3 linked regions of the Caenorhabditis elegans genome follow. The protein of the gene in region 1 interacts with the protein of each later gene in a biochemical or structural test. Each region holds a gene or a part of one and is shown in the gene's direction. Other genes may lie near its edges.

What was found.
Region 2: of the proteins of fos-1 (region 1) and jun-1, one has a biochemical effect on the other in vitro, tested with the Caenorhabditis elegans proteins (one study listed by BioGRID).
Region 3: of the proteins of fos-1 (region 1) and kgb-1, one has a biochemical effect on the other in vitro, tested with the Caenorhabditis elegans proteins (2 studies listed by BioGRID).

The regions. Positions count from the first base shown.
Region 1 is NC_003283.11:6,006,017-6,015,598, forward strand, and holds the start of fos-1 (Transcription factor fos-1), read left to right. Parts: upstream 1-2,549; coding exon 2,550-2,807; intron 2,808-4,676; exon of another isoform or gene 4,677-4,731; intron 4,732-5,084; coding exon 5,085-5,154; intron 5,155-5,199; coding exon 5,200-5,336; intron 5,337-7,264; exon of another isoform or gene 7,265-7,387; intron 7,388-7,493; coding exon 7,494-7,607; intron 7,608-8,202; coding exon 8,203-8,703; intron 8,704-8,756; coding exon 8,757-8,958; intron 8,959-9,553; coding exon 9,554-9,582. UniProt on the Caenorhabditis elegans protein: Developmentally regulated transcription factor which binds and recognizes the enhancer DNA sequence 5'-TGA[CG]TCA-3'.
Region 2 is NC_003280.10:9,110,512-9,117,128, forward strand, and holds the start of jun-1 (Transcription factor jun-1), read left to right. Parts: upstream 1-2,645; 5' UTR 2,646-2,779; coding exon 2,780-2,891; intron 2,892-6,105; exon of another isoform or gene 6,106-6,164; coding exon of another isoform or gene 6,165-6,216; intron 6,217-6,313; coding exon 6,314-6,385; intron 6,386-6,617. Other genes in the region: T24H10.4 (Transmembrane protein 53), read left to right, coding at 1-104, 292-537. UniProt on the Caenorhabditis elegans protein: Transcription factor that recognizes and binds to the AP-1 non-canonical enhancer heptamer motif 5'-TTAGTCA-3'. Required for ovulation. Controls plc-1 expression in the spermatheca to regulate spermathecal valve dilation.
Region 3 is NC_003282.8:403,881-412,314, reverse strand, and holds kgb-1 (GLH-binding kinase 1), read left to right. Parts: upstream 1-2,281; 5' UTR 2,282-2,358; intron 2,359-2,442; exon of another isoform or gene 2,443-2,553; intron 2,554-3,418; 5' UTR 3,419-3,428; coding exon 3,429-3,494; intron 3,495-3,537; coding exon 3,538-3,629; intron 3,630-4,279; coding exon 4,280-4,409; intron 4,410-4,452; coding exon 4,453-4,568; intron 4,569-5,276; coding exon 5,277-5,361; intron 5,362-5,410; coding exon 5,411-5,582; intron 5,583-5,751; coding exon 5,752-6,012; intron 6,013-6,058; coding exon 6,059-6,165; intron 6,166-6,223; coding exon 6,224-6,367; 3' UTR 6,368-6,694; downstream 6,695-8,434. Other genes in the region: gpa-4 (Guanine nucleotide-binding protein alpha-4 subunit), read right to left, coding at 7,832-7,945, 7,987-8,223. UniProt on the Caenorhabditis elegans protein: Mitogen-activated protein kinase which is an essential component of the JNK pathway composed of mlk-1, mek-1 and kgb-1.

The DNA.
Region 1 (9,582 bases):
GAAAGTAAAGTATGCATCATTAGTGGAGATTTTTTAAAAACTTCAAATATCTTTAACACTCGATTAAATATTTTTAGATTTTGAAAATGAAAATGAAAATTGAAAACAGTTTTGGAAATTGTGAAATTTTCGAAAAATTGAGCTTTGAGCAATTTCCAGCAAAACCAATTTTAGGTAAGATAAGTAAAAAAGTAAATTTGAAGCTTTGCTCACGTTTTGGGTATCAGCATATACTAGCTAGTCCACAGATATTTCAAATCTTTTTTAATTCAAGTAACATGTTTTCAAGATTTTTAAAGACTGTGTTGCGACACTGGGGAACCTATTTATTCAATTCAGATTTTTAAAACTGTAACAACTGCTCCATCTTTGAGATTTAGGAAATATTTGAAATCGTAAAGTGAATAAATTTTAGACTAAAATATTTGTTTCCCGCATAAAACTAAAATATCCTGTTATTACTGTTTCTTCCCGAAAACACCTGTATCCACCGAATAGTACAAGCATGTCGCGTGGTAGCTTTCATTCTCCTTGTCCCACTTCTCACTTCTCTCTCCAAATTTCTTCTTTTTTTTTCCAAAATAAAAATTCAAATTCCGTTGTCTTTTCATTTCGGCACCGGTACGCACACACCGGTATCACGTCATTCAAGAAAAAGGGAAAAGGTGGAAAAAGTGCATTTTCTGCGTCTATTGTGATTGGAGTACTATCTAGGGCACGATCGGGAAGAAACAAGGGAGTAGAAGGAAATTGAAAAGATTTGGGAAAAAAGAAGTGTGAAACTGTTGTACTGTACAAACAGAACATTTTGAATTTTAAACATCAGAAGCTGGAAAAGTTTCAGAGATTTGGTAGTCTTTTTATTGGAGCTTGGAAGTTAACATTTCATGATTTACTGGCCAAAACGTCCCCTGATTTAAAATATTTCGAGTAAATTGATGAATTATTGAAAATCTTTTTGGAGATATTTGTAGCTCGGTTTTGAACTTGTAAATATTTTTAAAAAATTTCCGTAACGGGTAGTCATATTGAAAATATGATAAAATGTTTTGGAAGCTGAGCTTTTTTGAGATCGCATCAATATAAGTTCCTGGCTCTGGTAAATCTATTGAGCTCGGTGTCAGTCTAATCAAGATCGATGTCAGCAGAAGCTGGCTGTACAGCCCTTGATTGGACTGAGTTTCAGAAAGCTCAAATGTTGTTTTCAAAATGCAACCTAGCTTCAGATCATAACGAAAGTATAGCATGTTTCATAGAAATTGGAAATACTTTCTTGAAACAAGTAAATGATTATTTTGCACCCAATGTTTGATGACTACCTCATGTCTTTCATTAGTATGGCATGCAATTTCAAAATTTAAATTATAATATTTCCTCTATTTGTCCTCTACTACTCTACTGCGCCATTTTAAAAAAGTAACAGCTCGGTCCATTGTGAAGATATTAGTGAATAAGTAAATTCAAGCGACAGACAAATAATTTTTGAAAAATGTTGTCAGTTGGCAATTTCTCAATAGAACAAATGACAACTGATATAAGCTGTAAACGTTTAGATTTTATTTTATTTGAGCTAGGCCCCTCTCATCCAAAAAGGTTATTAAAAGTTTATTGCCTGTTAAATTTATAGACTTAGACATCCATCCAAATATTTAAATGTTGCTGTTGCTTTTGGGTCAACAAACGACACATACCTGTTAGTGTCATCCTTCGTTCCGCGTGCACGCATCGCACTGAATCATCGGTATTCATCACCTCTTCTCTGCAATCAACGAGCCAAATGCCAATTGGGTTATTTGAGTTAGAAACTCGGGAAGCTTCACAGAAGAAATAATTAGCTGAATTGGCAAAGAGAGCACCTGCTCCCCGGAATGTCATACTTTTGTAGAATAAAAGAAGGGAAGACGACGACGTCTCCGGTTCTTCTATCCCAAACAATACCATTTTTTGTTTCCCATCTCGTCTTCGATGTTGCTGACTCACCATCAATATCTAAACAGAAAGCACCCAATGGTTCGCCTTTTTTGTCTCCTTTCTCGACAGTTTCTGTTTTTTTTTGTATGTTACATAAATACCGTACACCCACCATCTAGTCAATTGTCACATATTCGAAATCAAAAGTTATCAAAAACTCTCGTGCACTTTAATACACAGTTCCGTCGGCCACCCCGTCACCAGCCGGCGTTTTCTTGGTGATATCATTGGCGGTGGCTCTTTGAAAATTCAAATTTGGTGTCGTCCTCCCGAAGGTGTGGGCGGAGCTTGCGCACCGTTCGCGGTGGCCGTTGCTCTCGACAGTTTTCTCTTTCCCTCGCTCCTTTCTTCTCTCAACCAAACACCTGCCCACACACGCAACTTACTTTTGTCATCGCTGGTCCCCTGTCCAAAGATACAATCAACCCGTGTTGTGCTAATCATCACCTAGAAGAGTCATCTTCGTGAATCAGAATCCCTTTTCTTCCCCCTACTTTTTCCACTTCTATTCCCGGTTACTCACCTTCTGTGTTTGGCCCCGATCGTGTGTCAGCACCTCTGCTATATAAGAGAGTGGAATGTTCGAACAACCATCGTCGACGACTAACACCACCACGAGCTCTGGTTCTGGCTCCGATTCCAATCACTACTTCGAATTGGGTCCCAGGAACCCGATCAACCAAGCGCACCCGACATCAGTCATTGTTCCACCGCGACAACATCACCATCAGATCCACCAACAACAAACCGACAACTCACCTCTAACTCCGTGTACACCATATTATCCATCAAATGCATATGGACTCCCTTTATTCTTTGGAACTGATTTCCTGCAGGTATGATACATCACAAATATCTTCCTTAATTCAGTGTTTACTTCAAAGTCCACTATTCCCTTGCTAATAATCACGAGTTTTGATAGAGCTTTTAAATCATTACTTTCACTCATTTTTCACTCAACCTCGAGCCTTACATTTGTCAGTTGATCTCTTCTTTCCCATATAAAAATGAGATTATAGTAGCTTACTTTCATTTAGTTTAATATTAATTCTGAAAGTATCAAACCAAAAAGTAAAGCGTTCACTAATTCTTTTGTGCAAAAGTCATGCAGAAAAAAGTTACCTAGCTCTTGAATCTTTTCCCTCAAAAATGTTCTTACCAGCCATCTCCCCCGGATTTTAGTTCCGGAAAAATAAAACTATTTGGTTATGGATTAAATGTATATGGATAGGTGGTGCACGAGGAATCTTAAAAGAAGATGCCGACGTGTTTACACACTTCTACAGTAATCTATCTATCTTTCACCTTTCCCCCAATTGTTACTTTTGTGATCTTCTTTACCTCTCATGCACTCGCTAATCCGTTTTGGATTGTTTCCTGTTTGCACCTGTTGAAAAAAGATAAGTAATACTTATATGTTAACTTTTTTCGGTGCCAGTGAAAATATTACAGGCACGCAAATTTTTTAAATATTCAAAAAATATCTGTCACTTCTGCTTTGAGCTTGGGACCTACGAATAAAAAGAGATCACGTGTTTTAGCGTTCCTTCTTTGCGCTGACAACTTTTTACCAGTTTTCTTAGAATTATTGTCGCTGAAGACCAGACTTACAAAAATAATTTTTGAGCTTTATTTGTAAATAAAACAAACTTTAACAAAAAATGTAATAAACTGGCAAATGTGAACTCAGAACAATTATATTCACAGGTATTCTATTTCATTTTGAACATGTAGGTGTGAAACAGTATTCTTTTCAGTTCTAAATCAGTTTAACCCACTGAGAATTTTGACAAATGACGGTGAAAAAGGAAGAGTTGATAAAAAAATGATAAGACAATTGAAACCTTTTAATTATCAATTTCCAACACTTACTGAAAGAAAAACTATTTCTAGCGAACGCACCAATGTAGAATACCCATCTTTCTGCTTTGTTGGTTTTTGATAGGCTTTGATAAGTAGATTTTAAATTACCGTATATCTTCTATTAATATGGCCTCCCTATTAGACTTGCACTCCCTATTAGTATTGCCCCTCGGAGACCTTCCGAAAATTAGTATTGCACTCCCTATTAGTCTTGCACTCTCTAATAGTCTTGCGTTAACTTTTTTGTATTGCAAACCCGTCTCGCTAATTTCAGGATTTCAACAACATTTTTTGCCTATTTGGCAACAGTTTTCACATCATTTCTACGAGATTGAAGTTTTTGAACTTATATGAAAATCAAATTTTCTGAATTTTTACATATGATTCGAGCTTTTTCAGGAAAAAACTAGTAAGCTCAAAGTCAGAAAATGTTCTGAAAATTAGTATTGCACTCCATAATAGTCTTGCACTCCCTATTAGTATTGCAAGCGGGAAGGAATCGAAAAATAGTATTGCAGCCATATTAATAGAAGAAATACGGTATTAAATTATCAAAATTTACGAAAATATTTGAAACATATTTCATCAGTTGGAACAATACAGATATAATTCGCTGAAATAGAGCAAAAAGTGAAACAACTTTTTTATATTCTGAGTTTTACATAAATGTTTTCTTTTAATTTTTGCTTGATGTAGGTCATCAGGACAACGAATTCTGGTTATTACGGTTCATTTTATCACTCTACGTCTTTTGAAAATTTTTGCTTATACTGCTATCTAATTGCCAAAAAAAAGATTATAGTTTTTGAAGTGTCTTGAGTCGTAAACCATCTCTCTTTCTTCACAGTCCGCCTTTAGTCCTATAGTCAATCGTCAAACAAATACCGTATTTCCTCCTAGAATGGGCGGGGCGTTCTTTCCCCCTTCACCTATACACACACTTCATCATCTTCATCATCACTGCCGTTCCACTATTTTCTTGATTTGCTTATCAATATCATAATACTCATTGCTCACTCACCTCTAGAACTGCAAGTGTCACGTCATTACATAATGACTCATCAGGACGTATCATGGATGTTTGGGGCGAACCCATATGACGATAGTTACAATTTTAATTATGGATATGAGGAGGATGTAAGAGTTTAGAAGTTGAAATTAATTAAATTGAATTAAATAGGTAGAATAAAAAATTGTGGAAGGAAGATATATAGATATGCCAAATATTCGTGCTATAAAACTAATTTCAGTTCCAACCATCTGATATCCCATCTCCGCTCACACCGAACATCAGCTCGCCACTTACGCCACATCCATTTGGTAAGCAAGAGATATAATTAAGGTCCACGAGCATGGAAACTTCAGGTCCGATCCCAGCAATCCCGACTAATCAAATCTACAATCGAACATTCACCGATTTCTACTCGACGGCAGCTTCATCGCCTATGGTACAGTATAGCACGGTGAAGAAATCGTCGGCTGGGAGAAAACCTAAAGAAGAGGTGGGCAAGTTATCTACAAGTTATGGGTTACTTAGTTATGGGTTAGTTAAGTTACTTACTAAAAATTTGAATTATTGTTTAAAACCGAGTTGCTGCTATTCTAGAATATCCACTACTACACTTTAGCAATTTGCCGTATTTTTCCTACTAGGCTTGCCCCCTCGTTTTACCTTGACAGAGCATATCCCAGTTCTCTTTGGTTTTATCAAAACTTTGTCAACTCACAAAAAACGTGCAAAATATTTTTTTATATTATGATAGTAAAACATATTCAATAAAGCTTATGACAGCCGCGATATGAGCCGTCAAAGTATAGCAAAAAAGATTGTTACGTATTTTTCTCTAGTTTTTAAAACATGATTTACAATAATAGTTCAAAAATACGTCGAGATATATGAGCCAAGAAAGTTTTTTGAAAAATTTGAATAATTGGATTTCAAATTAAAAAAGAAAAGATAAGCTCCGAAACATTCAAAATACAATATTCTAGCATTGACATTTTTTACAATTAAGCGATTTGCGTCAACTTGAAAATTAAAATGCCAACTTGAAAGTTCTTCATGCTTATTTTAAGTAACAAAGTTTAGCTCGCCGTATTCACTCAATAATTTATTTTTGATAGACAGCCATTATAAAGTTTAAATGACAAAACTCACTTTTTGAATGTGGTATATGCCGGCATGACAAGCATGATTTTTGAATATTTCAAAACTTCAGTGGGGCATTTTTGTAAGTATAGCCAGAAATAAATATAAACGAACGTATTGGGCGAATAGCTGCTTTCTATTACAAAAATATAAGAGTTTGCGATTAGAAACTTGAGACACAGTAGACAAAAACAAGTAGGCAGGTATGAGAACTAGGCAGTGGGTGGAGATTCGAGTGTGTATGTTCATGGCAACACCTTCAACTCCTCTCAAATGACTCACAGTTTTCATTTTTCGTTTTTGACTCATACACTGTCCCATAGAACGCTCTCAAATTTCGTCATCATTGCAAGCCAAAGCTAGTCATTCGAATCTGACTCATTTTCACTGAAACCTCTCTCTGCTACTCTAGTCTATTTTTTTTTTCAATTCTTGTTTCCAAACATTTCGGTGTTTCTTCAAACCGTTGAGATGACGTGGCAGTATCACAATAAAACTGCGATCTATATGGTAAGATTGATGGAGCTTTGAAGGTTGATACGACCTTGCTTATGTATTTTTGTGATGGTTTCATGAACATGCAAAAGAAGCATCTAGAATTAACAGTGGCATTGCGAAATTAGTCACCACTAACGTACTGATAACAATTAAGTATGACGCGGAAAAAATAGAAGTACTGTAGATTAACGTTTATGGACGAGGGAAGTTACTATGGCGGGTAGGTCAAAGCAATTATATATTGAAAGGGGTTTGTACCATTTCAAGTTAGATTTCCCTGATATCCTTAACCTGGATAATACGGTCATTTTTGGTTTACCAAAAAGTCTTTGAATTTTGAAAAATTTCGAAAAAAAGAATGTAAGCCAAATAGGAAAATTACGGTATTCAGTGGAATTTACCCATAATTTACATTAGGTTTGCCGACATTGAAAAGTTACTGATAAATCTAAATTTCAAAATTACAGTAGACTTTGATTTTTTAGTTTAATTTTGCTCTAAGTTACTTGGTTACTTTTCTAACTTTCTGAGCTTGGCAACTTTTTCTTGTCTGTTACGCTTACCTAGAAATACATTTATGAAAAAAACATTTAGTTGAATTAGTTTTGCTGAACAAAAATTCCAACCCGAGCCTTCAAAACTGATAAAGTTAAAATTTGCAGTAGTCAAACTTTGGGCACTACTCATAATATATTTACAAATTGAATGCTCTTGCCCTTCTTTCGTCCATTTCTTTTTTCATTTTTAGATAGACGCCCTTTCCTGCCCACCAGGTACACTATGCAAAGTAAATATATTAGTCATCACGCAATATTGTATCTACATCCCTCGCTCTTTCGTACACCCTACCTTCCCAGTCTTCACCTAAAAGCTTAGAGAGACACCCACCCCAAGCAGAGGGGAAAATGAGCCACTTGACAAGAAATATAACGAAATGGATAATCTTTTGAGTAATCAGAGAAAATATTAACAAATCCTCAAAATACGGAAACTTAGAGTCAATGATTTTCAGGATAATATGGAGGATGACGATGATGATAAGAGGCTGAAACGTCGTCAAAGGAATAAAGAAGCTGCTGCAAGATGTCGGCAAAGGAGAATTGATTTGATGAAGGAATTGCAAGATGTAATAGTTTTATTCAAAAATAATTACATTCACCAAATAAAAAATTAGGATATTTTAATTGCAGTGGGGTATCTACCTTTAGTGAACACTTAAATTTTGAAGCAATTTTCAGTTAAGCATAACTCAAAAACTATACAGCTTCTCTAAATACTTTCAACAAGCAAAATGTTGATGATAACTTTGGCTACATTTTTGCCGTTGGAAAATTGTTAGCAATCTCACCCTGGAAAAAGTTATAGCAGCTGACAACTTGCTGGCCCAGTTTTGACTATTTCTATTGGAATCTTCTTAACTCAATAACAGAACGTTTTCATAGAAAACAAAATTTAAAATTGATTGCAATGTTCTAGATTCAGAAATGCCGGTAAAAAATTCAAAATTTTAAATATTTCAGAAAACAGTTTTGGGCCTAGTTCCAAGAATTTAGTAGTTTTTATAATTAACTTTCAAACATTTTTTAACTTATAAATTCACTATGATTTGCAATATATTTCAGTTTCATTTTGAAAAAAAACCACACTTATAGGTTTTTTTAGACTTCAAAATAGGAAGTTTCAACATTGTATTAAAGATAAATTTCACGATCTATTTTCAGCAAGTAAATGACTTCAAAAATAGCAACGACAAAAAAATGGCGGAATGCAACAACATCCGAAATAAGCTCAACAGTCTCAAAAACTATTTGGAAACGCATGATTGTAAACTGAGTCGCGAAGAACGAACACATGAGATAAATCGATTGATAATCCCACCATCAACAGTTCCACCATCACAACCATATCTTCAACATTCGTTGAGAGTTCATCCACCACGTGCTGACTCTGTACCATATTCTATTCGATCAGGACATTCATCTTCATCGTCTGAACAACACTCACCAGTTGAGGACTATAAGCCTTCAATTGATCAATTACTTCTTCCTCCAATCTCATGTATTCAAAATATCAAAGATCGAAATATCAATTCTATGCCACCACCAGCTTTACCGGCAAGCACGAGTGCTGCTGGAATTCATGTTATCACTTCTATCCCGGTTTCGCATGCCAACTCATTACACGGTCGTTCGGAAAACGTTTTCGCAGAACCGGAACGCAAAGTGAGTACATTCATTTTAATTTATTGAATCTTTTACATTACATTTTACTTCAGATTCCAAAAATCGAGTTGGACCAAACACTGACATCATTGACCATGCCAGACGACGTTGAACGTCCGTCAGCTCTTCCGACGCTTTCCAGAATCGTTGAAAATCAGCCGATCACTACTCCCAGCAGGCCTTTCCGTCTCGGGGGGGAATATCAAAATCAAACACCGCAGAGTACAGGGAATGGACTATTCGGAGGCCCACCAGGTAGTTTATTTAATCGGATTGTAGCCAATGAATAAAAATTGTATTTTTTACAATATTGCAATTCTTAATCCTAAATCTGAGTCTCATCGCGAGCAAAACTTTTCAGCTACCGTACCCGAGCTCTTCTAGTTTCTACCAATATTTTCACGTGGTGTCAGTCTGTACCATCACGGGTTGATCTACAAAAAATTCGGGAATTTATTCCCTTAAAAAATGTGACGCCATCACGTTCTTAACCATGCGATACTTGAAGTATGCGTCTAAATTCCCGCGATTCTCGGAGATCAAACCGATATAGGACACTCTGACACCACGTGTATTTTGAGATATCAATATTGCAATAATCATACAAAAATTGGAATATTTTGAAAAAACTCAACGTTAAATATAAAAAATGTTAAAATTGGAACTACAATTGCGAGTACGGTAGCTGGAAAGTTGTTGGCGTGCCAAGACCCAGAAATTTGCATAATTTTAATTCAAATGCCGATATTTCTACAATATACGAAAATTTTCTTAAATTTTTCCAGTTTCATCCCGGGCTAAAAAGTGTTATTTTTATTTCTCAAAATATAATTAACGATTTTCATTCCAGGCCCATTCGACTTGCTTTCCTCCAACACT
Region 2 (6,617 bases), on another chromosome or scaffold:
TCTTGGAGAAGGATATCTACGAGAGACACTATGCGTATTTCAAAATGATAACATTTGACAATCTACCGGCGAAGCAGCTCTATATTTATGGACCTGCAGACTTAGTGAGTTGAATTTTCAAAATAAAAGAAAAAAATAGGTATTCTGAAATCCAAAATTGAAAAAAGCTAAAAAGCTTCTTTTTGTTTACACTTCCTAAATTTTTTGCTAGTTTTTACAGTGTTTTAATTGTTTTATTCTAGATTCTAGAATCTAGATTTAACACATTTTTAGCTTAACAAATTTTTCCAGGTTTGCTCCGAAGAATCCATCGAAGAATACGCCCAGTTAATGGAGCAACGTGGTGTTTCAATCTCAAAACTTCGTCTTCTCGATTCTTTGCACTGCCAACATCTCCGATCTCATCCCGTGACGTACACTCAAGAATGCCTAGACTTTGTGAAATCAGGCCATCTACCAGCGAATAGAAGTCGTGTGCCGTTAGAAATAACTGAAGAAGCTGCACAAAATGATGTACCTGAAGAGCTTGCCTACTAGATTCATATCTATAGATTTTTATTGTTTCTCTTAATATTTATAGATGGTAATTCGCATAATTACTTATATATTAATTGACCGGTTCTTCCCATCTCCTTTCCCAACGTTCCATCTCTATGTCCCAGTTTTATTCGCTTTAAAAGCTTTTGCTTGATACTATTGACATTAGATATAAATTATTACTTTTTGAAAGTCCCTGCTATTACACGAAAAAAAGTTTCCTTCCTTCTAAAAAAAACTAAACTAAAAACAGAATCTTGGAAGCGTAAATATTATTTAGATGAGGGGCTCCTTATTACGTATGCCGGTGCGTGCACTTTCTATTTTCTTCCTTTTTTTCTGAATTTTTTATTTTCAGCCAGGCGTTTCCCTTTCGACGTAATTTGTTCTCGAAATCACCTGAAATGTGAATGGGTGGGCAGAGGAAACACAAAAAAAGAGAGAATTCAAATTGATTCTGATGTGATGCCATTTCCACTAATCTCTCAATTCTTACTCCCACCATTTTTTTGCAATGATTTCCGAATTTGTGACTGCTTTTTCGTTCCGATTTCATTTTGATGACCGTGTACAAAAAGATGAGCAGACAACCATAACGAACGCGAAATTGTATGGAATCGTGAGAGACATAAGTATGATTAGAGAAAATACGAAGTTATCAATTATGAGTAGATACTACTGTTGATATTGTAAATTGGAAAGTGAATCACAAATCATGACTATTGGAGACCAATGAAACACTTTCAGATTTATGTTCGAAACTTCGTACCCAACTTGGTTCCGAAATTGGCAAAACTTGGCCAATTCCTGGTTCACGAATGTACAATTCAAAAGCCTCTAGATATCAGCACAAATAAGCCAAATAAAACATGAAGTTAGTAATAATAAAAGATAATTAGCATCGATCGTGTTAGGCCGAATGACTATTCTTATGCAAATTACGGTGTTTCTATGAAAAAATTAAGTGCAAGTGCCGAAAAAAATCTACCAATCAAAATTAACTTTGCAAATGCGATACAAATTCCCAAATGCAATGAACTGATATCTACCGTACTTTCCAAATGGTATGGTACACGGTATGTTACCTTGAATAAAACTTGTTTTGATATCTAGACGAGTTGTTTGGTATGCTGAATAACATGGTAAAACAGTTCAAAAAATTAAAAAATGTTTGTAACTGTAGTCAAAATCTGGCTATTACTAATAATATGTTATCACGTATTACAAATATGAAAGATCTAGGACCGAACATGCAAAAATAGTATAAATTACTTTGAAAAAAAACCTTTTTTTTGCATTGTGCCAAAAACAAAACCTCAAACAATTTCAAAAAGAAAATCAAAATATGTTTAGATTTTGTAAAAATGATCTAGAGTATTTCTGGTCTAGTTGAAGTATGTGCAGACAAAATTCTCGAATGTCATAATCGAACACTCCAGAGTAAAATGTTCATTAACAGTTTTAGTAAATTGCCAAATTTTCCAAAAAATGTTTTCTGGTCGACTTCCAAAATTGGATTTACTGAAACATGAGTTTTTATTACTCTCGGTTTTTATTAATTTGAAAAACCGGATCAGAAAGCTTCAAACCCCTGCAAAAAACGTATTATATTTTAGTTATTATTGGGTGCATAAACAAGATCTATGGGTAAAAGACTAATGAGGTCAGGCCTAAAAAGAATGAAAAACAAGATGAGCTCTGAAAAAGCCAATGAACTTCCAAAAAGATAAGTGGCTGATGGAAAGGCAAATACAGAAGTCAAAGGAGCGGAGAGAAATGAGGGAAAAGAGACGGAGAACGTGAAGCAAGCACACTGACACATTATTTACGGTAACATTTTTCTGCGAACTTTATCCATTTCCTCTCTTTCTCTCTCCATTTACCTTTCTAAATGTCAATTGGGTGGTGGAAAGAGAGAATGAAAAATAGAGAGAATGAGAAACTTCTGGATTCTCTCAATTTTCAATGTTTTCTTTCAATGTTCGTTTGTCTATCTGCGTCTATGGATGTCATGGATCTGGAAAATAGAGAGAAAGAGATAGAGATAGAAAAAGAGAGAAAAAGGAAAAGAACGAGTCAGCAGAGGAAAAGAGACAAGAGTGAGTGTGCGTGTGACTCATTCTCGGGGCCCCCGCCGACTAACCCCCATCGCCATCGTCGTCAACCGATTCGTCATCAACTTCTCTTCCTCTCTATTCAATTCTTATTTGTCAAAAGGTTTTGAAATCAAAATAAAACAAAAATGGAAGAGGATCAAGAGGAACCACCATCCTCATCAACATCATCAGAATCTCCAGAAGTTGTTCTAAAAGCTCCAAAAGCTCCAACTCGAAGAAGGAAAAATTCCAAAAAGGGTTAGTTTGTTTGTCTAGTTCAAAAGTTTTGGAATACTTGATGATAAACCTGTCACAATAGGAAATGGACAATCATGGTTACAAAACTATAGTTTCACTACTATCAAAATGCCAAATTACAACTACCAAACATTTGTGATCTCGTGATTTTATCGTTAATTGATGAAGTTGTTTGTCAAAACATTATATCAATTTGTAGATCTATGTTTAATATGAATTCTTTGAACCCATAAAAAGTTTATGACGCGTGCCAAAAAAAACAGGTGGTTGTTAAAATTGTTTTGTATTTTTCTTAAATGATTTGTAAAATTAAATCATATTGTTTCTTACCAAATTGAAAGTTTTTCTATGCAACAATTTCCTTTCAACTGGACATAAAACACTTAAAAATAGAGTAAACGGTATAATCCTGGCTCCGCCCACTTTTATGAATGTTCATCATTACATTTTAATCATCACAAAAACTACGAGCGAGACTCTAATTCGGAGAGAGACGCAGTGATCGAGAAAAAAAAATCGAGTTGACACGTGATTTTCGATTCCAACGACGCAGCTACTGTAGTGATCGAAGCGGCGCACAGCTTTTCCCGCCCGTTCCATCTGGCAACTGTCTGCGTCTCTTCGTCTTATATGGTCTCTTTTCTTCGAACTGTTTTTTGTTGATAAACGCATATGCCTAGTTTAGCGGAAGTGTAGAGGCATTAGGGTTAGGATCTAGGAACTTGAAACTATATATATATATATATTCCTAGACCATATTCTGTAAACTTGGTAAATTTTTTGAACTTTCATTAAACCTAAATTCTTGATTAATATTTAAAATTGCAATTAACGGTAAAACTATGTTTTTTTGGAAAATCTCTACCTCCTACTCTAGCTTGTCCCCTAGCTTTACTTTGAAGATTTGTATTATTCAAATCCTTCAAAAAAAGCTTAAATATATTATGGTATACAAATCCGACAAACCTCATTTCTCTAAAACCTTCATCTAGAAATTTAACATATTTCAAACCCGACATTTTTTCACAAGAACTACCTAATAAATCACCACAATATGTCTCTCCGCCCTCTCTTGGTTTGAGAGCAATATTTCATTGGTTCGACCTGATTGTGCCAAATGATAAGACTAACAGCTGTTCCTTTCGGAAGTTTCATTATTAGCTCATCAGATCATTTTAGTACACTATTTGGGTTTTTTAAGGTTTTGTCGAAATTTATAGTTAGGTATTTTGAAAACGTTCTTCGAAGTCATATTGACAAAAGTACAATACGAAAATACAAAACACACTATAAGTACAGAAAATTCAAGCAAAAGTTCAAACAATGCTATTTTAAAATTGATTTTGAACGATCGAATGCTATAAAAAATCTAAAATGATCTTACAAATGGCTTATCCCGGCCCTTCGCTTCTCTATTTTACGTCGAATTTCTCGTTATCAAGATTTTTGCAAAGAAGATGTTTAAAAGTTTGTCTTGAAATTTTTTTTAGCTACGTGAGCTGAACTAATTTTCGATGCGTTTATTCTCGAACTTTGGTTTCTTAATTTCCATTTTATCCAGACATATTTTGTTCATTCGTTCTATCCGTTCCCATTCATTTCTTGGAATGAGTCATCGGGCTTTCGTAAATGTTTTGACACACACTTTGCCCCTTTTTTCCTTCCCATCTTTCAGTTTTTAGGCTCTGATTTCTGTTCCATAACATGCATGGGTAATGAGATGAAAGAGGCTATGGCAACTCTTGCGAAACAGTCATATGTTTGATGAAATATTCAGGCGAATCTCTGTTAGTATTTGTTCTCATTTTCTGCAGAAGTTGTTTCAATTTTAGAATGGAACCTGTAGGTAGTTAGTCATTTTGAACTCAGTTTTAGCTAGGTTACCCATAGTAGATCTATCTAGAGAGGTGCATCCTCAGGATCCACTGCCTGCCTCAAACCTACCCGCCCCTCCTGGCTTCATATTTTTGATTCAACGATGTTTGGCGCTCGAATTGTGTTAACTCATGAGTTATTAATATTTCTAGGCACAAGGCAGGCAAGGGTTGCCGTGAAGGCAAGCCAAGTTCCGATGAGGCGCATGAAGCCCTAGTTTCAGCCAATTCCCATCAAACCTGACACTAATCTTTAAAGAACATATTCATGACGTTCTGCTCGTGGAAGACTGATCTGCTCTAATATTTTCTTTTTGATGTTTATCTCTGAGCTTTTCTGGTTCTCTAGTTTCATCTACATTTTCTGTTAGAGAACATCTGAGAATCTTTTTCTTCTTCTCTTTTTTTCACTTTTTCTATTTTCCCACCATCATAAACACAAATTAAAGAACGTGCTTGGATGGAGCATTATGAAAGTTTTTCACTTTCCTTTTTCGTGTCGCGTATTCAAAAACTTTAAACAACATTTCCCACCAACTTTTTCTGCTAATCAGCGTAGTTCCAAGAACATCGTTAACATGTTTTGTTAATCAAATCTAACACGCGTTTCATGATCAATTGATGTTTGTGTTATGAAGTTATCTGAAACATTTTTCTTCATATATATTGAATCTATTTTTTTGTTATGCTTTTCTCGATTCCCGCCAATTTAGGATATATTCTTGTTGGAATTGTACTTCCTAAATGTGCTGATATTTTGGAAAACAATTATTTTCCGGGTCTTTTGATTTGATCTATGATTTTGCAGTGGCTGAATTTTAAATAATTATCAAAGAAATCATAGTTTTTGTAAATATACCTAAAGAACATAACCGTATTTTAATATGGAATTGATCAGAAAATAATCAATCAGTTGTTTCAAGAATCACCAAGAAATGGAAATTTATAATTCTCTATCCTACCAAAAATAGAATCGATTTCAAGTTTTTTCACATAACTAGAAATTTTAAAATAACCACCAGAACCACAGTTAAGGTAAATGGAACACAAAGTTGACTGTAAGGGGTTCGAGGGACGAAAGGCGCCTCGGTCACGCCTCGACCGAGTGGAATGCCTACTAGAAGCACAGCATCAGAGACTGTTCACGACATTTAACAGTTACAGTGATATGGTAAATAACGAATTAGCAATATAATTCTTCCCGTTTGTCTTGAAATTGTAAGCAATTCAGTGTGCTTTCAGTTCATCCTGAAATGTCGGGTTGTTGAGTAGTGAGTCATACTCGCTTATCACCAAAAATGGTTCTCCACCTCCATCTCATTCTCTCATCGTTTCGTTTCGTTTTCTTCTTCTTCGTTTTCCGATTCTCATTCTTCTCTATTTATTTTGTGAATCGATGATGAATAACTCGTTTGATATGAATGTGACACAACATACCAACTCTTCACCATGTAAGGGTTCATTTTAAGAGTGACAGTTTCATTTTCAAATGACACGAATACCAAAAGACTAATTCCAATCTCTGAAGTATTAAAAGTTAACTTTCAGATCGGCGACAGGATATGGAAGTAGATGATGGCGAGAAGGAAAGCACAGCACAGTACTGTAAAGGATTTTATGGTGAGAATTTTGAATATTGAAATGAATGGAAATTTTAAAATAAAAAAAGAAAGTCACAAATTGAGAACTCAAGAATAATCGTTTGCTGATCAAATATTCAAAAAATGGAAATCACAAAGTAAAAACGTCAACAAAACTGTTGTGTGACTGATAAATGAATGTCTTTCTCATCACAATCAGAAGGTGGCATACTACTTTAAAACAATTGTACCACTGTTATGACTGGATGGAA
Region 3 (8,434 bases), on another chromosome or scaffold:
TTGGCTCGAAAGTTCAAACGTGTAACAGAGAACCCTGCCATTGAAAAATCACGTTTTTCGACAATGAATTTACATTCTTACCCAATTTTTTCTCGTTTTCTTTGTGGTATTCCAGAAGTTTAAATTATTTTTGATGTTTTCAGGAAAATGATAAAATTTGGCCACTTTTCCTAATGTTCTCTGATATTTCAGCACACGCGTCCATTCTCAGAAAAAAAACACGAATAACTGCTGTTTACCACATTGTACTTTCATCTCTCTTTCAAGGAACTATTTTTTTATTTCTATGTATAATTTTCTTGAGAAGAAGTTTTTATTTTTTAAATAGATACAAACTTTTTTGCGTTGAAGAATTGTTCAAAAAGGTAGTTAGGATAGACAAAAATTCAAATTCAAAACTATTTTTCCAATGAAATTTATTATTGTTTGATCAGTGAAAAAAGTAATATAGAACATCTTTTGTACAGTACACTAATTCGATTTGTGTGCATCTTTACAAAATTGTCTCCTTCATCCAAAAATTGGATTCTAGAAGTAAATTTCATAAAAACAGTATTCTATTATTTTTGTTACGAAAATATTTCACAATTCTCGGAAGAAAACGAGATGATTGTGGTTATTGGGTAAGTGTTCAAAGAATATACATAGAAGTTCCAAATTTAAAGGTGGAGTAGCGTCTGTAAGTTTTTTGCCATAAATGACAGAATAGAGACCCAATATACTAAATATAACTGTTAAAAAATGTAGAAAATGTATGAAATTTTTCTAATTTTTTAATGATTTTTTTCTTAATTTTACAAAAATTTAAAAAAAAGGACTGAATTAAATTTGAACTCCCGCGCAAATGAGTGACGTCATTTTCGAAACTTTTGCGTTTTCAGCCTATATTAATAGGTTTTTCTTCATTTTTCCTTTGTTTTATAATTTGAAATACAGTCTGTCAATTTTTCAGACTAAAAGAAAATGTATGATTAATTTTGAATAATTAAGCCAATTTCAGAGTTTCGGTAAGTTTCTTCGCAATTATCAAGTTTGAAAAATGTTTGAAAAATTGAAAAATTATGTTTCAAATTATAAAACTAATTGTAAGAATAAAGAAAAACCAATTAGTTTGGCCGTAAAACACAAAATGTCGAGAATGACGCCATTAATTTGTGCGAGAATTCAAATTTAAATCGGCCTTTTTGAAAAAATCATAAAAAATTTATTATTATTTTTTGATTTTTTAACAGTTATATTTGGTAAATTGGGACTGTATTCTGTCATTTATGGCAAAAAAACCACTACTTCACCTTATAATTTAAAATTATCCAACTCACTATCTCTGTGTTTCATTTTAGCATCGAGTTATCACTTCCGATGACTAACAAATGGGAAATCTAAGGAATAATGCAGAGATTGAAAAGAATTAGAGAAACAAACAGACAAAATCAAGTATTATTTAACAATTGTAAAGAACAACCAAAAAACCCCACAGGAAAGACCACACAGAATGTGGACCCACGACTTTGGGAGATTAGGCACCTACGAGATTTCATGGCCCAAGTTAATTGGGTAGCGCTTTGAGTTGTCATAAATGTTAATAATTGAGAAAAAGATATTTAAAACTTAAAACGTACATATTAAACTTATTTCTTATAGAATTTACTTTCAAAGCTTTTATTATAGGCGGTCGATTTGTTCTACGGCAACTCTATTCTCCAAAACAGAGTGGTGTCTCTTTTCTGTCTGATTCTCTACTTCTCTACACATTTTCAATCCTAGGTGTGTCTCTCTCTGAAGGATGAAATCTCTATTTCTCTGCATCTCCTATTTGGCTTCAGCCTATCGCTTCTCTTCCGCACACAAACATTCACTCAGTGACGTAACTTTTAATACCTACACTATTTCTCTCTTTCGCATTGTCAACTTATATATATATATATGTATATAGATCATTCCTGTACTATTTAATTTTTAATTATAACTTTTTAAAAAGGTTATTTATGATTTAAAAAAAACAAAATCTAAAGTGTCTTTAAAGTGTAAAAGTAAAAATTGGCAGGCTGGGTATACTGCCTTTTTTCTTCAAGTTTTCGAATCTAAGTAAAAATAAAAAATTTCCCCTGCTTTTTTAATACAATTTTAGTTTGAATTTTACTTGTTGAGAATAATAGACTTCAATTATCTCGATGCAGTATTATGTATTTCACTAATAATTAACAGCAAATACCTCAAAATTACCCCGAACTCGAACTATTGCTAGAATAAACCATTCGAGTAACCCGTGTATTTATTGTAGAGTTCGTGAGAAAAGGATTAAAGGATTAAAGGACGATCCGTTCTTCAAGCGCTATGCACTGCGGATCTGGGAGTCAGGTACACTGCCTGGTGGTGATCCCACTAAAAAAGTAATTAGAGTATTATAGAAAAAATACGATCGCCCAAAAATAAACAACGGCGCAACGACACTCCGCTGTTTCTGAGACCCGCCCACGATTTCATTTGCACTGCGGCCGACACATTTCAGTGCAAATGAAATCTTGGGCGGGGTTTAGAAACGGTGGAGTGTCATTGCGTCGTTGTTTATTTTTGTACGATCGTATTTTTTCTATAATAAAGGTTTAAAAAAAAGAAACACACTATTGGATGTTACATTCCAGTCAACTTGATACCTAAAATATTTAAATTTTCCATTGAAATTAGTGTTGACTTTTGTTTCCTAAATACGAACATCCTTTCAAAACCAAGCGCAAAAAGTGTAAGATCATTCACAACTGAAGTCAAATTTTTGAAGTGTGAACATTTTTTGCGTCATGCAAATATGAAATATGAGTTTATGAGTCGATTAAAAAACATAAAAACCCAAACAAAAACGCTGAAATTTCATTAAATGTTAAAAAATGACTTCTTTATTACAAATCCAAAGTTATGATTAAACATTTAAAGATTAGCTGCAAAGATTATTTATTAAACTACATATCTTTCTATTTTTAGTCTATTTTTTAAACATTGTCAGGTTTAGTTTGCACTTCAAAAAATGAAAACTGTATTTCACTAACAATATGTACATATATCCCCTCCCTCATTTTTTTTCACTCCAGAAATGGAAAGTCAATATTTGGAAAGAAAATAATTTTCCAAACTGTTAGAATCTCCGTTTTTAAGATTTATTGATTTCTACGTGGGTTGAAATGACTCAGTTTTGATGAAACTCAACAATTTTAAGGCATTTTTATCAGTTCCGGTTGGAAAGGAAAATCAGAAACATTTTTGCAAGTGATAAGAATTATGAAATTTTTATAGATTTTTTCAAACGTTTATTTGGAAATTGAAATTATACTTTTAAAAATTTAAGAAAAGCTGAAATTTAATGACTAACGTTTATATTTAATTTTTGAATTTTAAGTATTTCTCCCTGAAACTAATAACTTTTTAGGCACAATAAGATGGAAGTGGATCTGCCGGTACATAACGAGTATGATGCGTCTAGATTTCATCAAGTTACAATTAGGGTTTGTTACTAGATACTTTACCTCCATTCAAATTCATTTTCAGGACCCGATAGCCGGCGCGGACAGCACTTTCACTATTCCAACTCGTTATGTAAACCTTAGTTTTCTGAATGCCGGCGCCCAAGGAACTGTCGTGTGAGTTTTTACTAATTACATTAATATTTTATTGAAGGAAAAATAATAGGGCGAATTTTTTAACGCAGTAAACAAAAAATTTCAATAGACAAACAAATATTAACACTTCAAAGATGTTAATCAAAGATTTGATAGATTGCCAAATTTTCGAATAATTTTTACTTTTTCAAACATTTCACACTTTACTGCAAATTATAGCCCCAATAATGTTCAAATACCAAAAGATAAAATAAATTTTTTGAAAGAACTATGAATTTTAGTCATTTTAGAAACATATGGCTGGTTTCAGAGAATCCTTTCTCTGGTCGTACTCCATCTTTGAATGTCTCACTGCCTTTCAATTGTATATTTTTACACTTTAACTTTTCTTCGGTTTTGCGTAATTTCAAACACTGACACAATGATGACTTCCCGAAAAAAAACGGACCGCCCTATCAAAAAACTTTTAAAACAGGTAGAGGTCTCGAGATCATTGTTATTCGTCATTGCCCGCTGCTCCACCTCTAAGATTGAAAAAGCTTGAAAAAATCAATAATCAAGAAGATCTTCTAGAAGAATGAAAGTGACTGAAATTAAATTATCGCGCAAATGACTTCAAACAGAATTTCTAAGTTAAGTGAACAGCCATAATTTTTATTGATTACATTTAGAATGGCCGATGACCTAGTAACAACGCAACGTGTGGCAATCAAGAAGATGCAACAACCATTTGTGATGACAATGAGCGCAAAGCGAGCATATCGAGAGTTTATACTGCTAACGACTATCAAACACCCAAATGTAAGATTCAGTTGGAATCTAGAAAAAATGCTCCAAATTTCAGATAATCCGTCTACTAAACGCGTTTACACCGGACACTTCACTTTCAACGTTCCGAGAAGTATATCTAGTTATGGAATTAATGACACACAATTTGCACGAGGTTATACATCGATTAAGGTAAGAGACATGGTGGCTGATTTTTATGATTTTTTTTCAGTAATACCAATTTTTATAGTAATATCTAGTATACTAGACGTAATTTAAACTGTATATGATGGACTTGTTAGAGACTAATAGACGTAAAATATTATTTTTCTGTTATTGATTTTGAGAACAAAAGAATAAAAATAAAACAATAGGAAAAGCACGATATCTTAAAGAAGGAGTGGCGGATTCATTTTTGCTCTAATAAACTCAGAACGACTCCAAAATATCAACCTTTTTTGTCTCAATTTCACGTTTAATAAACATATTCAACAATAATAATAAGTTTATTGCTGACACTTTTCAACAAAAAAAACTTTTAAAAAAAGAAAGAAACAAGGGCAAAAGCTAGACTTTCAATTTTGCCGTCTTTCGCGTTTCCCAAGGTCGGAAATACATTTTTATCCAACCTTGAGTACCCACTTGGAAATGTGCCGAAACCATCATCAAAACACGCACAGTTAGCTACCAGAACACGCGTAAAAAAATAAAAAAAATATTCCAGCGTGTTTTGAAAATTTTTGGTCAAGATTTTAGTTAACTACCAAAAATCAGAATTTTTAAAAAAGTTTAGAACACTTGCACATTTGAGCTCCTATTCATGATTGTTCAATGATTCAATGATTGAATATTGAATATAAACACATAATTAGATTCTAAAAAAATTTTCTGAATTATTAGATTGGACCATAAAACATTATCATTCTTCGTCTACCAGAGTTTGTGCGCAATCAAGCATCTTCACAATTCGGGAGTCATTCATCGTGTACGTATCTACCACTATAGACAACATTCTGAAAAATTCAAAGTTTCAGGACTTAAAACCATCGAATATTGTCGTCAACGATCGATGTGTATTAAAAGTTTTAGACTTTGGATTGGCCCGGAAGAAGAATGTGGACACATCGATGAGAATGTCAGATTATGTGGTGACAAGATACTACAGAGCCCCCGAAGTTATATTAGGTCTTCCCTATTCGGAAAAAGGTTTGTTCGAAAAAAAAAAAAATTTTTGTAATTTTGGGCTGGACTTCCATCTGCGCTCCGGTGAGCCGCCTCAAACAGCCTCACGCCGTACGTATCCGCATGTAAAGTGCGCGTAAAACCCCAAACGTGTCGGCCGCTTCCAAACAACACTCTCAATTCATAATTGCAGTAGATATTTGGTCAGTCGGATGTATATTTGCTGAAATGATCAACCATACCGTACTTTTCCCTGGAAAAGATCGAATTGATCAATGGACTAAAATTTATAGTGTTTTGGGAACACCAGATGATCATTTCATTAGTCAATTGGGTCAGTCAGCTGCTATGTATGTTCGATCGTTGCCACGTCATCAGGCACGAGCATTCAGTGAAATCGTTCCTGATACCAATTTTCTGCCGGAGACTGAAAATCCAAGGGTCCATTTGACACGTGAGTCAGGCTATACAGGATTTTGAAAAATAAATCATATTTTCAGCACACGTGGCTCGTGATCTCCTGTTCAATATGTTGAAAATCAATCCTGAAGAAAGGTATTCAGTTGAAGATGCACTGAATCATCCATATGTTAAGTTGTGGTTTAAGGTACAACAATTTTAGCACTAAACAAAAACAATCAAATCATGCATCTCAAATCTTACAGGACGATGAGGTAAACGCCCCCGCATCAGAAAATCGATACGATCAGGAAATTGATTTTGCCGATAAGACACTTATTGAATGGAAAGAGCTAATTTTCAACGAAGTGCAACGCTATCAAGCCGACCACGACATTTTCACTGGATAATAAATAATAAAAAACCTAAAATTGTTTCTTTTTCTCTCAAAAATAATTGTGTTACTTTTTTCTTCAAAAATCTATCTTTCAGTTGTGTTCTGTCACTTAGTTGGCCATATTTTCTGGTGATTCTCTGCTTATTTTCTATATTGATTATAATCACTAAATGTTAATTATTTTGGAATACAGATTTTTTGGAACTGTTTTGTTTTAAGTATAAGAAATTGAACCTTAGCTCCACAAAATTTGCATCTCATTATAAAGTAGGGATTGTTTTTCGATTGTATTGTCAGGTTTAAATTCAAAATTCTAAATCAATAAATTAATTTTTTAGGGACCAGGTCCCCTATGAGGTCGCCACAGCGGCGCCCGCGCCGGCCTCACAGCGTCAATCACAGTGCATGTATCCGAATATATAGTGCGGCAGGGAACCCGATCGTGAAGTCCGCGCCTCACTTAGCTGGGAGACCTATAGGTTTTTTTTCTTCAAAACGATGCTTTAATTTTTGTTCTCAAAAACAAAATGAAGCCAAAATGGGAATCCAGAACGACCGGACATTAAATCACACAGATGGACAATGGTGGTCTTGAATAAGTACATTTATTTCACAAAAATTGAACATTCAGTAAAAGATGAGGTTTGAAGACTGAAAAGTGGGCTGGACAACAGAAAATCGACTTTTGGGTAGTAAAAGATTTTTGATATAAAGATGGGAAATAAAGTATATGGACATTTGGACAAAAAGAGAAACAGAGACGCCTTGAAATGTTTTCAAATGATTCTTTTAGTATTCTATTCTAGAATTAAGAAAAGCGGATGGAAAATATTTTTTTGGAATCTTGATATTTTGTAAGTTTGAACTTTTGGGTTTTGGAATTCCGAATTTTTGTTATTATCATATTATTTTTTGAAAAACCGGAATTTAGCATCAAGTCTGAGAGATTTTATAAAATAAAACTAACAGGAACAGTTTGAACAACAAACAACTAAACACAAACGGATAAATATAGTAACAAAAAACAAAGTTTTGAGGCGTACTAAAAATTTAAGCAATTATGCAAGATTAAAGAAAAATAATGAGAAATGTTTATGAAAGTTCTGAATTTGTTGAAAGTAAAATCAGGGGCTCACAGTGAATATAGAAGTACTCTTGAGAAGAATGTACTCTAAAACCTTTTTTTTAAAGTTGGATGGGAGAAGAACAATAGGTGGAACAAAAAGTACAAAGGCGACGAAAACGTCACAACTCGAGAATTAATTGTTTTTTTTTAATTTTTAAAGGCTTTTCTAAAAATATCCAATGATTCATAAAAATCATTGAACTTTGTTCTCTCATAACTTATATTTGGAGAAATATAGAACAAGTCGTAAGTAAAGAGAATCAGAGGATACGCAGACAACGAGAGTATCCATCTGAGTAAATGAAAAAAGACTCAAAGAGGCCAAGCATTTGTGCTAATCTAGTTAAACGTTTAATAAAGACCGCAAAGATAGAGGTTATTACGGATAATGATGTCGGTAACAGCGTCGAACACAAAACGGATGTTGTTTGTGTCCGTGGCACATGTGAAGTGACTGTAGATTTCCTAAAGCAAAAAAACATTTAAATCAATGCCTTGCAACTTGCCTTTTGAGCGGGTGTTTGTCTTTTATTGAGAATCTCAAAACGACTTTGAATGAAGGTTGATGTTTCAGTAATTGTCATACCCCCTTGATACTCTGGGAAACAGACGGTCAATGGTGTGTAACGGATTCTTTCCTCGAAAATGTCCATTTTGTTAAGGAATAGGATAATCGATGTCTCGGTAAACCAGCAATTGTTCACGATTGAGTCAAACAATTGCATTGATTCGTGCATTCGGTTCTGAAAATAGAAATATGTTTTGGCTATGTGGTGTGGTATAATACCGACCGTGATCAAACTACATACAACAAAGTTTATACTAAATAAGGGCTAACTAGGCATATATAGCTTTACTCCTCGTGGATGCTAACGATATATGTGCACCAGGGGTGTGCGGCAAATTTGCCGAATTTGCCGAATTTGCCGAGCTCGGCAAATTTTGAGATTTGCC